2 linked regions of the Caenorhabditis elegans genome follow. The protein of the gene in region 1 purifies or fractionates together with the protein of each later gene. This does not show direct contact. Each region holds a gene or a part of one and is shown on either strand. Other genes may lie near its edges.

The links.
Region 2: the proteins of kle-2 (region 1) and hcp-6 purify together in Caenorhabditis elegans (affinity purification with western blotting; 2 studies listed by BioGRID, with this or other methods). This does not show direct contact.

The regions. Positions count from the first base shown.
Region 1 is NC_003281.10:7,939,783-7,946,113, reverse strand, and holds kle-2 (Condensin-2 complex subunit kle-2), read right to left. Parts: upstream 4,398-6,331; 5' UTR 4,392-4,397; coding exon 4,290-4,391; intron 4,216-4,289; coding exon 3,466-4,215; intron 3,417-3,465; coding exon 2,891-3,416; intron 2,558-2,890; coding exon 2,177-2,557; intron 2,127-2,176; coding exon 1,872-2,126; intron 1,778-1,871; coding exon 1,593-1,777; intron 1,074-1,592; coding exon 807-1,073; 3' UTR 521-806; downstream 1-520. Other genes in the region: gsto-1 (Glutathione transferase omega-1), read left to right, coding at 83-209, 260-519; C29E4.12 (Protein FMC1 homolog), read right to left, coding at 4,580-4,688, 4,743-4,960; C29E4.10 (Putative galactocerebrosidase), read right to left, coding at 5,258-5,344, 5,388-5,635, 5,684-5,781, 6,061-6,331. UniProt on the Caenorhabditis elegans protein: Regulatory subunit of the condensin II complex, a complex that seems to play a role in prophase chromosome condensation and in chromosome segregation in mitosis and in meiosis.
Region 2 is NC_003279.8:5,163,516-5,171,307, reverse strand, and holds the start of hcp-6 (Condensin-2 complex subunit hcp-6), read right to left. Parts: upstream 6,161-7,792; 5' UTR 6,152-6,160; coding exon 5,968-6,151; intron 5,919-5,967; coding exon 5,674-5,918; intron 5,624-5,673; coding exon 5,165-5,623; intron 5,108-5,164; coding exon 4,934-5,107; intron 4,886-4,933; coding exon 3,852-4,885; intron 3,807-3,851; coding exon 3,713-3,806; intron 3,662-3,712; coding exon 3,184-3,661; intron 3,142-3,183; coding exon 2,069-3,141; intron 2,018-2,068; coding exon 1,066-2,017; intron 736-1,065; coding exon 649-735; intron 548-648; coding exon 204-547; intron 160-203; coding exon 7-159; 3' UTR 1-6. Other genes in the region: let-630 (Small ribosomal subunit protein mS39), read left to right, coding at 6,427-6,525, 6,571-6,708, 6,753-7,792. UniProt on the Caenorhabditis elegans protein: Chromosomal protein which is recruited to mitotic chromosomes by hcp-3 (CENP-A) and hcp-4 (CENP-C).

The DNA.
Region 1 (6,331 bases):
GCTATTCATTTTGGAGGAAATTCAAATATGATCTTGAATTTTTCTATTTTCTAAACTATTTTGTTTTAAATAAGCAATTCAGGTAGCCCATGCAGTTCCATTGCTCTTCGCCGTCATGCGAGACCGAACTTTGAAAGATGAAAAGCAGCGAAAAGTTTTTGAAGTTTTGAAACAAGCTGAAAATCTCTTGGCCAATGATTTTTATGCTGGTGAGTTCAATTAATCGATACAATTTTTTGACCAAATTCAAACTATTCAGGATCTCAACCAGGTTATCCAGACTACTTATCATTTCCATTTTTTGAGAAAATTTGGTGGTCAGCTAGTTTGGATGGAGTTGTCGATTTACCAACAATTGAATTCCCAGGAGAAGAAGAATATCCTAAATTGACAAAATGGTTCCAGAAAATGATTTCTTCAGATGTTGTTCAATCCGTCACCCAATCTTTGGAACATGGCGCTGCATTCATGAACGCATATGCCACGCACCAGGAATTGAATTATGATTTGGGCCTTTGATATTAAAACCAGTCGATTTATTTTTAAGATTGAATAAAAAATGAAGGACGTAATTAAAAAACAATCAAAGAAATAGTGGTAATTCGTCGGAAAAAAAGTTATTGTACAGTCAGTAAAGTACCATAACGAACAGAAGAAAAATACTTGGCATCTAGAAGTTAATTAATTGATACAGTAAAATGAAAGTATAGCCAGAAATCGAGATACAAGTAGAGACAATGAGGAATGTTTAAATAAATTAAGATGGTTTTCGGGAGATTTAATGCAAAAAAAACAATAATTATAAATTAGGCATCAAGAGCGCCAGCCTCCTTGAACATTTCACAATGCATATCTCTTTTGAGTAGTGTGATTTTCATCGAGTTGATTCTTTCCTCGAGTGGCAGTTCCATGTCCTCGCTGACCATGACATTTCCGACATTACACATAAAGAGGCACGAAAGGAAGTATCGACTGATTTCGTACCATGGACGATCCATAACCAAATCTAGTAAACGTTTCGTGCCACCTTCAATATCGTATTGGCCAATGACAGCACGACCAACTGCGTGAACCTGAAAATTATTATAATTGAGAAATTCAAACATTTAGACATTTTGACTTTTCAAATTACTGTGGTTGACCAGAATATTAAAGGTGGAGTAGCGCCAGTGGGGAAATTGTTAAAAACCACTCCTTTGGTTCCAAAATGACCAAATATCATGATAAAACTTTTGAAAATTTTTTTATTTACTGTCAAAAACTGGCAATTACTCAGTTTTTGCCACTCATATGTTTGGAAGTCGACCAAAAAAATTTATTACATTTTTTATTGTTTTAATTTTGTTTAAATTAATTGTATTAAAACATTGTAGGGGTCGAAACATACGACATTTCTTTAAATAACCTCAAAAGCTCATATTTTTCAAAATTTTGGCAATTTGCCAAAACTTTGACCGGAAATTATGAAAAATCTAAAACTTTTTGGAGTGTTTTATTATGATATTCGGTTGTTTTGAATCACTATAAGTGTATTTAGACAAAATCCCCACTGGCACTACTCCACCTTTAAGATTAAATACTCTAAAACATACATCATACTCTTTTCGAGTTTCTCCTTCTTCGAGGATTGGTTCCATTCGAGAATGCCATTTGTCAACATGTTCTTGTAGAGTTGACACGGCAACATCCACATCTTCATATGCTTTAGCCATCTCGTAAGCCATTTGTTCGCGATCTGTTCGATTTTCAGCAAACTTCTTGAGCAATGGTAAAGCTTCTGTAAATAGAAAATTTACTTGATAGACTTGAGAGAGTACAATTTCAAAGTATTAATTTTAAAATTTTATTATAAAATTTTGCAAATAACTTACTGTCGATGAGCAAATTTCCAGGTAAATTGATAACACTGTTCAGTTCGGCATCATCAATATCCTCGAATCTTAATGGAACATATTCAGCAGGCGGAATATCAAAATCTGTTTGAAGAGCATCGAATTCTAGGTTGTTTGGAGCCATAGGAGGCCGTTCACCACGTGGCCGCACGTCTTCTTCGTCGTCATCGAACCCACCTCCAAACATTGAGAGCTCGACTTCGGCAGCAAGATCTTCATCGACTACGTCGTCATCTGGAAAAAATATAATTCAGTTTAAATTTCATAAAATTGAAATTTCTTACATTCAGCTCCGAGGGTTCTTCTATTAGACGTTGGAATATCCTCTGTTACCGGTTCAAATTGCTCCACGGGTATCACACGAGCTGTCCGTTTTCTCTGCATATTCTGGATACGAGCTTCTCGGATTTTTGCAGTCTTTTCCTTGATTCTTCGTTTCTTCTCGGCTAGAATAGCAGTACGAAGTGATTCTATCTTCCAGTCCTTAATCGGATTTATACGAGCCGCACTTCTCCAATAGTAGTAATCCTGCAGATAGTCGTGAGTTTCCATGAACTCGTCTCGTCGAGACTTATTGATCTTTTCCTCACGTCGTTGCTTCCTAGCCAACATTTCAGCGGGTTTTGGTTGGAATTTCGTGATCTTTTTTACCGGCTTGCTAACGACTGAAATATATCATTTACTATATATAAAGCGCTTATTCCGTTTGTCCATAGCTTGTAGTCTATGTAGTCTTTGTAGTCTGCGAAGTTTTAGCTTCTGGAGGGATAGTGAGTTGGGGTTAGTGTAGGGATATAGTCGGGGTACTGTAGTGGTACAATGGTGGTACGGTAGGAGTACTGTATGATTACGGTAGGAGTACTGTATGATTACGGTAGTTTCAGAAAAATTGGTTTTCAGCTCCAGAAGTCGGGGGCCGCGCCGGAGGTGCGGTCCACGGCTCATATATATATATAATCTAAAAAATACCGAAAGAATCCCATTAATTCAACAAATACCTGGCAGATTCTCGTCTCCCGTGTACCAAATAATATGATTTTTATCCAGCTCGTCCCATGGTGCCGGTGCTCGCTTCTCATCCCTTCTGGACAAATTTCGAATATAATCATCGTCGTCATCGTCTCCTCCACCACCAAAATCATCATCAAAGTCCATGGGCGCGTAATTCTCATCAGGTCTTCTACTAGTGTTTGGTTCATCGTTTTGCATAACAGATCCAAAGTTATCAACGAACATATCAACTAAGCCAGTGGTAAGATGAGTGCTCGGGCGATTCTTATTAACTCTTCCCTCCACAAATGACAAGAAATCATTCAAATGATTACTCTGTCGATGTCGTTCAACAAATGGTTGTGAGAGACGAGTTGGTTGAGATCCAAAGCCTTGAGAATCTCGAAGAGTTTTAGCTGCAATTGTGATGGCTCTCGATGTGGCACGAGATTGAATTTCTTGATTTTGACGAACTGCTTCTTGCTCTATGAACCAACGAGGAGGTGGAACAACTTCACGGCCAGAGAGAGGATCCTGAAGAAATCAAGTTTTGAAAATGTTTCATCGAATTATTACCACTTACCTTAAACGGTCCATATGCACTGATCTTCTCATGCTCTTGCTCCAAATCTAACTCAACTTCCAAATCAGCAACACCAAAATTAGCTGCCAATTCCTTATTATCTGGCATCCAACGAGCACCAGGTAGTGTGAATTGGTCTAAATTTCCACGATAACAATCATGGGAGTAGAGTATTTGTTGATCGTGTTTAACTTTCGACTTTTTAATTTCAAAATCTTTTACTTTTCCGATAACATCAGGACGAGATTTTGCATTCAAAATTTGTTCATCAGTACGATTGAGCTGGCCGTAATTGAGCTTGAACATGAACTGGGTTGGCTTTGCTACTAAACAGCTTTTTCGCTCATATTGAGACTCTATAACTTCAGCATTCTCGACCATTCTCACTGCATCAATCGATTTTTTCTCTTCTTTTACTGTCTTCTCAAAATTTGCTAGAGCTTCCTGTTTCAGTGAGTCGATATCAGCCAAGTCGTAATTCGTCGATCCCAAATTAAAATTTTTCCGTCTTCCAGCTCCTCGTCTACTGCCGGTGTTTCCATCATCTTGACCTTTGTTCTCGACTAAATCCACAACTGAAATCGTCAGTTCATAGACATGATCTACTTTTCGACCATATACGGCACACGATCCTTGAATAATCCGGCATGCTCGTTGAAAATCGAACAATCTGTAAGTTGTCGCTGCATCCACCTGATTATCTGTGTCTTCACTTTCTTGTCTGATAACCTCGAGGTATCCGGCGAGTGCCTGAAAGTCGAGCAATTATTTATTTTATTTACCGAAAAAGAAAAGATACAACCGTGAAAAAAAATTATCCTTACTTTCAACACGTCGATTGAGAAGTTCTCGACAAGATCTTTTGCGGGTGTGACGAGCCATGCTAAATCTGTCGATTCTTGACCTGGAGGAGCATTCCTAGTCATTTGTACCTGAAACAACAATTCCAATGCTCTGGCGATGATTAACTATAAAAAAGATATAGAATGGTACGAAAACCATAAGGAAGTTATAAAAAACCTGAATAGTATTTTAAAAACGAAGTATTTTATTTTGATTGAAAAGAAAACAGGAATCTAATCTATTCGAGAAAGAAATAACAATTTTAAGTATTTTAAAGTTTCTTTTGTTCTGGAAGTTTCAATCCAACAATAGCAGCAGCCTCTTCAACACTCTTCTCGCCACCCTTATATCTCTCTTGAAGTTCATTAAGCTGTCGGGTTCTAAAATGAATGGATATTGATTATTACTTTCTTATTCTCATAAAACAAACGAACCCTTTAATATAGCTCAAATAGAGTTTTGCAACGCTCTCTGACTCGTTCTCGGCTTTTGAATATCTTCTTGTTGTAACCTGGTCGGCTTTCATTTGCTCCATGAGGTATTTATATTGTGCCGAATTCGGGGAGAATGTTTTGTCGACCTTTTTCAGTTCCGAAATGATGTTTTTGATGGTGTTGAAAGCGGTCACTCCTTTTCCAACAGCAGAGGCCATACTTTAATTTTGAAAATGTACAAAAAAGGGATAATAAATAGCACAATAACACAATTCAGACAAAAAAAGAAAACAGGAAAACGTTCTCAATTCAAACTGCGCGCGTGAGGCGCGCGTTGTTTAGCGAAACGCGGAGCATCGTTGCGGTACCATTTGCGCGGAAGTTTGAATCTAGTTTTTTGTGGCAATTGATTTTGACATTTTCCAATAATGTGGTAAATTATAAAATGGTACATTTATTTTAATAGAAACATGCCCAAGCAATATTAAATACTTTTTGAATGTAATTAATCAGCCTCAGTGAAAATAATCTGTTGAAATATTATCCCATTCGGAGATGCCAAAATTTCCAGTGCCAATCACGAATAAAGTGTCATTATTTGTCTGAAAACATTATATTTGAAATTCAATTGATTATTTTAATAACCTTATTTAATTGTTCTTCTGGAATTTCCACTGAAGTCATCACATGATGATTTCCGAATTTTATGAAGAGATGCGAGTCCAGTAAATGAATTGAGAATTTATAAAACTTTCCAAATTCTACTTTTCTTCGTGCTTTGAATTCAGCAATTATTGAACGGTCAACGAAATCGGAAAATATAGTTACTTTTTTATTTGAAAATTCAATCTCAACAAATATTCCACGACAGTTTATTACTTCTATGTCACATCCTGAAAATGTAATAGATTTTAATATGAATCACAACACTAATTACATACCACTACAATTACTCCTTATACCTAGAATGATGGATTTAGCTGTTGAGTGTTTTGGAATATTGACCTCGGCGTTTAGAATACTATTCTTCTTTCGATACCTAAATGGAAGGAATACCGTATACCGTATTTCCTCTATTAGTTTTGCACCCCTTTGCTCAACTTTGACACCTCATATCTCCTTTTTGGACATATAAATAATTAACAAACTACAAACTACAGAAAAAACATCTATCTAAATTTTTATCAGTTGACAACTTTTCTATAGAACAAACTACTACTGAGATATGAGCTGCCAAAGTTGAGAAAAGAGGTGTAAAAATATTAGAGGGAATACGGTATACTGTAGTTCCTCATAGGTCAAAGTCATCAATTCTTACGCCATAACTGCATATGGAGTTCGAATGTGTGAGGTGCACCAACTAATTGATGGGCGTGTCACTTTCTGTACCGCCCGTCCATTTCGTACCACCCATGATCCTTTTTGTGGCATCCAAAACTTTGGCTCCTCGTCGAATTCATAATTTTCAAAGTCGTCGTGATAATTCAAAGGAACCAATGGTGTTTTTATAGTAACTCTTTTCGGAGTTGAAACTGGAAGTGTAGTGAGTATTCCAAATGAATTAACAGGAAGAAGAATGGTAATTGTAG
Region 2 (7,792 bases), on another chromosome or scaffold:
AACAGATTAATTTAATGAAAAAACAGCGGACAATCTTACAATAATACAAACAGTTGAGATAAATAAGACAAATTTCGATGGAAGATTTATACAATGACATTGATCAGCTTTCCTCTTCATCCTCTTCGAAGATATTGTGAAGGTGATAAGCTTGACTTTCTGTAAAATTAAGGCGTTTTGTAAATTCAAGAAATTGTGAATACCTTACTTCTGTTTTTCAAGTCTTCCTTTTCGGTAATAGCCGACAAATTAAGGGAGAATGTGACATCGCTTGGATCTGCGTCTTCTCGTGATCGAATCGGAGTTGAACAATGACGTCCTGCACCAAGCTTACTTTCATCGAAAATCAACGGAGTCACTCCGCGTGACAGTGGATCATTTTCAGTGTTACCAGATGAACTTGTTGGCACATTTTCCTCTTCCTCGTCAACAGATTTCCGTTTTCGATTAGAATTCTCTTTCACGACTGGTGGCTCTGTTGACTGACCCCGACGACTACGACGCAAAGTGACGTTGGCCGAAATATTGACTTCCTTTTCCGGGGATTCTTCAAGAAAATAAATTATTTAAAACACATTTTTTCTTGTGTGAAAGCGTGGTCAATAAAATACAGCAAATTGAACAATGAAATCAGGAAAAATAACTTACTGTTGACAATTTTCGGCTTCTTCCATATTTTTCCATCAGCATCCACAGACTCTTCATCATCGTAATTTGGCGTTTTTCTACGACGAGCTGGAATAATTTTTGAATTCAGACGTTTTTTTTAGTATTGTTTATTGTTTTCGACGATTATGCATTGTAGTTTTTTTCAATCAAAAGTGAGCGAAAAGCCTGTCGTTAACTAACAAATTAATATAATTTTCTGTCGAAAAATAACACTCGGAATTGTATCTAGTTCACAAATGCCCAAAATTATCAGATTTTGCAACAACCAAAAAATTAAAACCAAAATTATTTCTCCAGTTTCGAAAGAATTTTTCTTGTGCAAAAAAAATCTAATTTATTAGATTTATCTAAGCTAAGTTCCCTTTCATCCAAATTTCCGCTCAACCATATACATACATCTTCTAGATTCCGATTGCACATCGACCACCTCGTCCTCTTCAGCTTCTGTAGCTGGAGGTATTTCAACAGCTATCACAGTTTTCTCCGCATCAACATGATCATTTTCGGCTGTCACAGTTTTCTCGGCGGCTGCCTCTTCCATTGGTTCCTCCTCTACAATGGTCTTCTCTTCTGTCTTGTCGGCCTGTTTAGAACGGTTTATCGTCGTATCATCTATCTTGGTTTCTTCCAAATTTGGAGGATTAAGGCGCATTTCAGTGTGAATAAGTGCTCCCAGAGAGCGACGAATCTTTTTAATAGTTTTTGGTGACAATAGTCTCGCATTCGGAGTAGACTTCTCTTCTGTGGTACTTCGGAGAGCATTTAATGGAGTTCTGGGCACATCAGCATCCGGGTTCTTCTTCTGTGGAGTTCTCATTTCTACTTCTTCTTCCACGTTTTCTTGATCTTCCTCGATTCTTCTAGCAGGTGACCCCATCTCAACAGCTTCAGCACTCTCTTGAACTGGCTCAGCATCGAGTTCCATTGGCGCCGGCGATTTCGAAAGTCTCTTCTGCTGCTTTTTAAACTCAGCGACTCTCTTCAAATACTCGTCGAGAATTCTATTCGCCTCCTCTGTTCTCTGTTTAACTCTTTGCAATTCAAACATCATCTCGTCCTTCAATTGACGATTGTCTTGAAGTATTTCGTCTATATCGTTCTTGTGTTCAATACATATCATTCGAATCGCGAGAAGACACTTTCTTTGGAGCGGCGAGCGATGTTGATTGAGAAATTCACGAAGAGATAGGATAGAAGGTACGATGGTTTTCATGTAGTGATCCAGATATACTTTTTGCATGAAGCCGGTTGCAGCTTCCAAAACTTCGGGAGATGGATCATCCATCGCATTTTCATTAGGATTCTTCCCGACGTCCATTTTCACTTGCATTTCGTTTGAAGCCATTATCTGTAATGCGAAAATTAAGATAAAATTGTAACATTTGTATTATTTAGTTACCAAAAGAGCATCGTCAAGTAGGCATTGAACATTGTAATCGCTGAAATCGTACTCTCCATTGACAATCGGAGTAAAGATACGCTGACAAATGCTCATTTTCACATCAAATCGGGAACGATCATCCAAAGAATCAATCATGAACGTGTAGATGGCAATTCTGGATGGTCTAGCCAATGGATCACCACCTCCAATAGCAACATCAACTTGTCCTCTGTCATCTTCATCGTGACCAACTCCAACCAATCGTCGAGCTTGCGTAAGTGCAATCATGTACTGTACAAAGTTGAGAGGGAAGAAGTTGGGCTCTTCAGATTGGAGAACCTCACTAATGTAAAGTTTTGCGTCATTCCGAACATCTTCATTGGCGTCAAGAGAAGCTAACATCATACGGATCATGATTTCTCCATTAAACCGAAAAATACCAAACGAGATTAGTCGAGCAATCTGATTGATGGCGTGTCGACGAACAATAACTGAAGGATCACACAACGATGCAGCGAGCATTGGCGCATATCGATCTGTTTTGTAGGATGAACAAATATCACCAATGGCTAGTACGATATTAGACCGAATTTGATGAGCTGTATTGTATTGAAGCTGTTTCACAAGCATCGGCATCAGTTTCAATAGACGATCGTGCGCCAAAATCATATTCGCCAAGGTGACGACTCCAACTGCACGGACTTTATCACTGAACATGGCACCTTCATGGGACATCATACCACCCTTGGAAGACTTCTGTGATGATGGAACTTCGGATAACTGAGTTGGTGGTCGTGTATGATGAACAGAAGGCATATCTGGATTAACTGTCGACGCATCAGAAGAACCGTTTTCCGTGGAATTCACAATCAGCGAAAGCGTTTTTCCGAGTCGTTCATGTCGCGGAACAAGTTGTGGTGAATAGGAAAATACTTCAGATGCCACGTTGAGAGCTGTACATAGAAGCCTTTCTTGACTTTCGGAATTTCGTTTCCATTCATCTTTGTCTTTGAACATCTCAAACGATTGCACGATCGTATCGAAACATTTAATGAGAAGAGTCTCTCCGAAATCGCTGAACTCTTTTCCATCTGAAAATAAAAATTGAATTAACATTTAAAAGAAAGACGTACGAAGAGATCTATCACCAATTCCGTCCATTAACTTTCCGAGACAATGGTAGATACTTCTAGAATGAGATGGATGCAGGCAATAATCACGAAAAGTTCCTTGCAAAGTGTTCACAAGATCTGATTTTGTATCGTCATCGATTTTCTTGATATTGTTCTCAATGACGTGGATCATGTATTGCACGAGATTTGATTCTCGAGACAAGTCAACTCTGCTGAACGTCTCAATCGCAAAATCAACGTTCTGTTCAAACTGAACACACAACTGCGAGAACACCATCCATGCGCCATCCAGTTTCTCACTGCCACTAATAATGTGCTGCTTCATCGAATCCATTACTGTGCGCTTGACGAGTTTTTCACGAACTGCATCTTTCAATGTGCTCATGAGGTATTGACGGTGATTGGTGACAGATTCAATTGTATCTAACAGCGTCCATGTGAGATCCGATGAGTTTTCGAGTAAGGGAGTGAGAACTTTCTGGAAATTGGAAACAAATTAAGCTTCTATTATAAATAATTAAGCCCATACCATAATCAACTTTCTGGCATGTTCAGTGACGTCATTATCTGTATCATTCAGCATCGAGATCAAGGTGTGAAGCCATTTTGAACTGAGACTTTCTCTGAAAATAAAATTTGTTTTAAATTTCGTCAAAGATTACAATTACTTGAAAAGGATTGCATCTCGTAACATAAGTTCTGTAAACGCATCGGCTCCAGTTTTTCTGACTGAAACCATTCTGTCTCGACATAACATTTGAAGAATTGAAAGCACAACTTCAAATTTCGATGCTTCGTCGCAATATGATAGATATGATTTGAGAAGCGAGCACGCAGCCTTCTTGACCGGAGCCTTGTCGTCAGTTGATAGTCGGCGCACGATCATATAAACTATATCCTTTTCAACGCGTGTCTCTCCCTTGTTCATCAGTTTCAACTTATTGAACTTTTGAATGATTTGCTGCTCGTCGAGAAGTAGATCCGTTGGCTTTTTTGTTTTACTACTTGGTGCTTTACCAGAAACATTTAAATCTTCAAGACTTTCACTCAGGTTGTCGCCCACTGCGCCGAACTTTTCATCCATTTCCGCATTTATTGTTGCGCAGAACAATTGGAAAGCTTCTCGATGCGATTGAGACTGAAGGATTTTCGTCAAACTATTGGCTCCGTGAAGTCGCATAGCTGCAGCTTTATCCAAACAAGCCATGTAAACGATGTTATACAGAACAGACATTGCATCCATTCGACCAACTTCTTTAACTTCCTTCGCCTTCTTTTCTTTCTTCTTCTCTTCTTTCTTTTTAGAAACATTCTCCTCGTTATCGCCATCATTCTCTTCGTCTGATTTATCCGACTGTTCTTCCTCTTTGACTGCAACATCATCCTGCTCGTTTTCTTCCTCCTCTTCTTCATCTTCCCCTTCCTCCTCCTCATCCTCTTCTTCATTCTGCTCTGCGTCCAAGTTTGGAATAGCTCCTGGGTCAGGTGCGGTGAAGTCAAAACTGCTGATGAGAATACTCGAGAGCTCTGTAGACAAGGATTTTACTCCGGCTCCGCGGCCTTTGAACAAGACATTCATGAACTGGACAAAATCATAGGTATATGTGTATGGAAGAGCTTCGAGAATCTTGTGGATAAACGTGGCGATATTTGTTCGAAACTCGGCTAGATCTGGACATTGTGAATACACCATCACAGTAACCTAAAATTTAAAAATAAGTTAATAAAATATTTCGAAGAAACTGCTCACTGTCTGAATATACTTCAACTCTCTTGCTTCGGGATTTCTTGAAATTCGTGATAGAATTAAATTGACATGTAATTCACCAGATCTCTTTCTCTCCGTTGAAATCTTTGAAGATTTATTGCTTTCATCTGGATATGGCATCAGCGCAAGGCGAGGGCGAATAAGTCTTCCGTAAGCCTAAATTTGTACTAACCTTATTAATTTGTTTTGTAATTTTTTTAATTTTAATCCCACCACTTCTGCTCTTGTTTTATACTTGCTTTCTACTAAAGAATGCACAAATGCACAGTATCGATCCGTAAATCGCTCCAACGATCGGAACTCGTGGACTGAATTCGCTCGAATCGCTCTTCCTGCGGTTCGATTGTCAAGATCTAAACGGCCGATGTCTTCCACGACTTCTAGTGTGCTCATGAGTGTTGGTGTATCAATACTGAAGGTGTTGCTATGCAGAAAAGCAAATAACTGGGTTGTGAGATGATGCAGGTATCGCTCAGCCGAATCGACAGCAATTCGAGGGGGACCAATTATAGGATCTGCTGCTCCCGTTGTTACAGTCATTTCTCCATCCACATTTGTTTCGTCTGACTTTCCACCCGCTTTCTTTTTCTTTGCTCCACTTGATTTTTTTGTAACGACAGTCTCTCCTATCCTAACTGTATGACAACAGTTTCGAATAATTTTCAGACATTGCTGAAAAAATAACATTGATTATATGACATGTAATAAACCCGTATACTTACATTGTATAAACCAATTTGATAAAGATCTGAGATTGCTCCAGGCAATGAGCACATAGCAATATAACTACTGGCAGCAGAAACTCCTTTATCAACATCCTCTTCCGAACTGTCAGATCTCTGTCCGTTTTCGAGAAAATACCAGACGAATAGATTAAACTTCATTGTCGCCACATCACTTTCTTCAAAAATATTCCGAATATCGCATTTCTTTCCCGAGATTACAACGCTTTCGGCAAGTTTCTTTACTGAAAATAACAATTTTGAATAGTGAAGCTAACAAAATTCTCAACATACGCTCTTTCAGAACTCCACTCAGATCTTGCTCGAAAAAAGTCAGGTCAACAGAATTTGTGAATTCTTCATAATCTTCATAATTGCATTCTGCTGAAGAAGTTGCAACGGCATCGTCAATATCGTTGAGAGACCGGAGATTTGACTCAAGAAACTCCGATAAATCTTTTTCGTTGATATTCGACATTGAATCTAAAATAAAAAATGAATCATTTCAATAAGGGTAATTTAAAACGTTAAAAATAAATATTTAGGAAAAAAAATTAGGATCTCTGTTTGAATTTACCGCGTTGAGATTTTTAGGCCACGGCCATTGTGTTTCTAGGCCATGGTGCAAACACGGCGCGCAATACTGCGGACAAAACATTTTAACACCCGATTTTTTTTTTTGGTTCTTACTTAGGCTTTTTACGTTTTGAGTGTTTTTCATCTTTCTTTGCTTAACTTAATATTTTTTAGGCAATGATCGGCCGCATGGGACTTGGCAGAGTTATAACTCGCAGTTTATCGTCGGTTGAGCCTGCATTATCTCAAAAATTGACAATACAGCCAGCAATCGAGGTTGACTATTTTTAAAAATTCATACTTGAACTTCTATATTTCCAGAGATCTCCAACAGATTTGTTAAATGCCTTGTCAGAAACCGTTGGCCCGGACACAACTGCTCCACATTTTGCCTACATTGACGATCCAATTACCATTCCTTCCACGCAGTCAACGAAAAAGACCTATTTTATGGCGAAGGTAAAATTTTTGCCGGAATATTAGAATAAGTTTGATAATTTTAGGAGTTTGGCAAAAGAGCTGCACGAGAACTAGCTACAGAATGGCCAACCCTCTTCGCTTTTGACAGAGATCAACCTCAGCTCCCGGTTTTCCGTCCTCGACATCTAGCAGATCCCCTTCAAGTTGAACCGACAGAGAATAACCTGCTTAAAATGATTTCAAGTCGAGAAGTAAAAGACTCGTGTATTTTGTATGAACGCATGCGATCAGAGAACGTTGACGTTAGCGAGAAAGTCCAGCTGGAACTATTCCGTCTTGTAACCTATTACAATTCGTCAAACGTACCTTTCGCAGAATGGGAGGAGTTTGTTGGAATGCGCAATTTTGGAGAAGATTCTACATCCTCATGGAAATCGGGTGCAGTCGCTGATCTTCTTTTCGAAACTCTCCCAAAAACTGATGAAACCGTTTCTATAATGATTGCTGGTCTATGCAAGTTTTCTGATCATTCTAGTTTGGAAAGAGCTAGAGAATTGTACAAGGAGCATCGAGCTGCAAAAGGAAAAGTTTACCGAGAAGCGTTCAATGGATTAATTGGCGCTTCAAGCTACAGTGTCGGGAAGAAATTGGTAGCTGAAATGATTTCCCTCAGAATGACACCCGATATTTTCACGTTCAATGCATTACTGTCGTCTGCTGCAAAAGCTGGAAAGTTTGAAGATCGTGTGAAGGCGTTCACTGAAATTATTGGAGAAATGAAAGAGATTGGAGTTGAACCAGCACTGTCATCTTTTCATTTAATTATCAAAAACATCATAGATTTTAAATTATTGGATAATGAAAAACGAGAGAGTGACGAGCAAAAGAAGACCTATAATCACCAGCTCACCGTGGCTATATCTTGGCTCAATGAAATTCAGAATAGCCTTACTGGAAAAACTCTCAAGCCGATTACATCCACTTGTAATCTTTTCTTCGTCGAAGCAATGGGAATCCATTACAGAGCTGCAAATGAGAACCTCGCAGAAAATCTTGTTTCAATTTATGAATCCAAAGCAAACGAAGTAAAGATGCCAGCATTCACAATTGAATCAATGTTCTA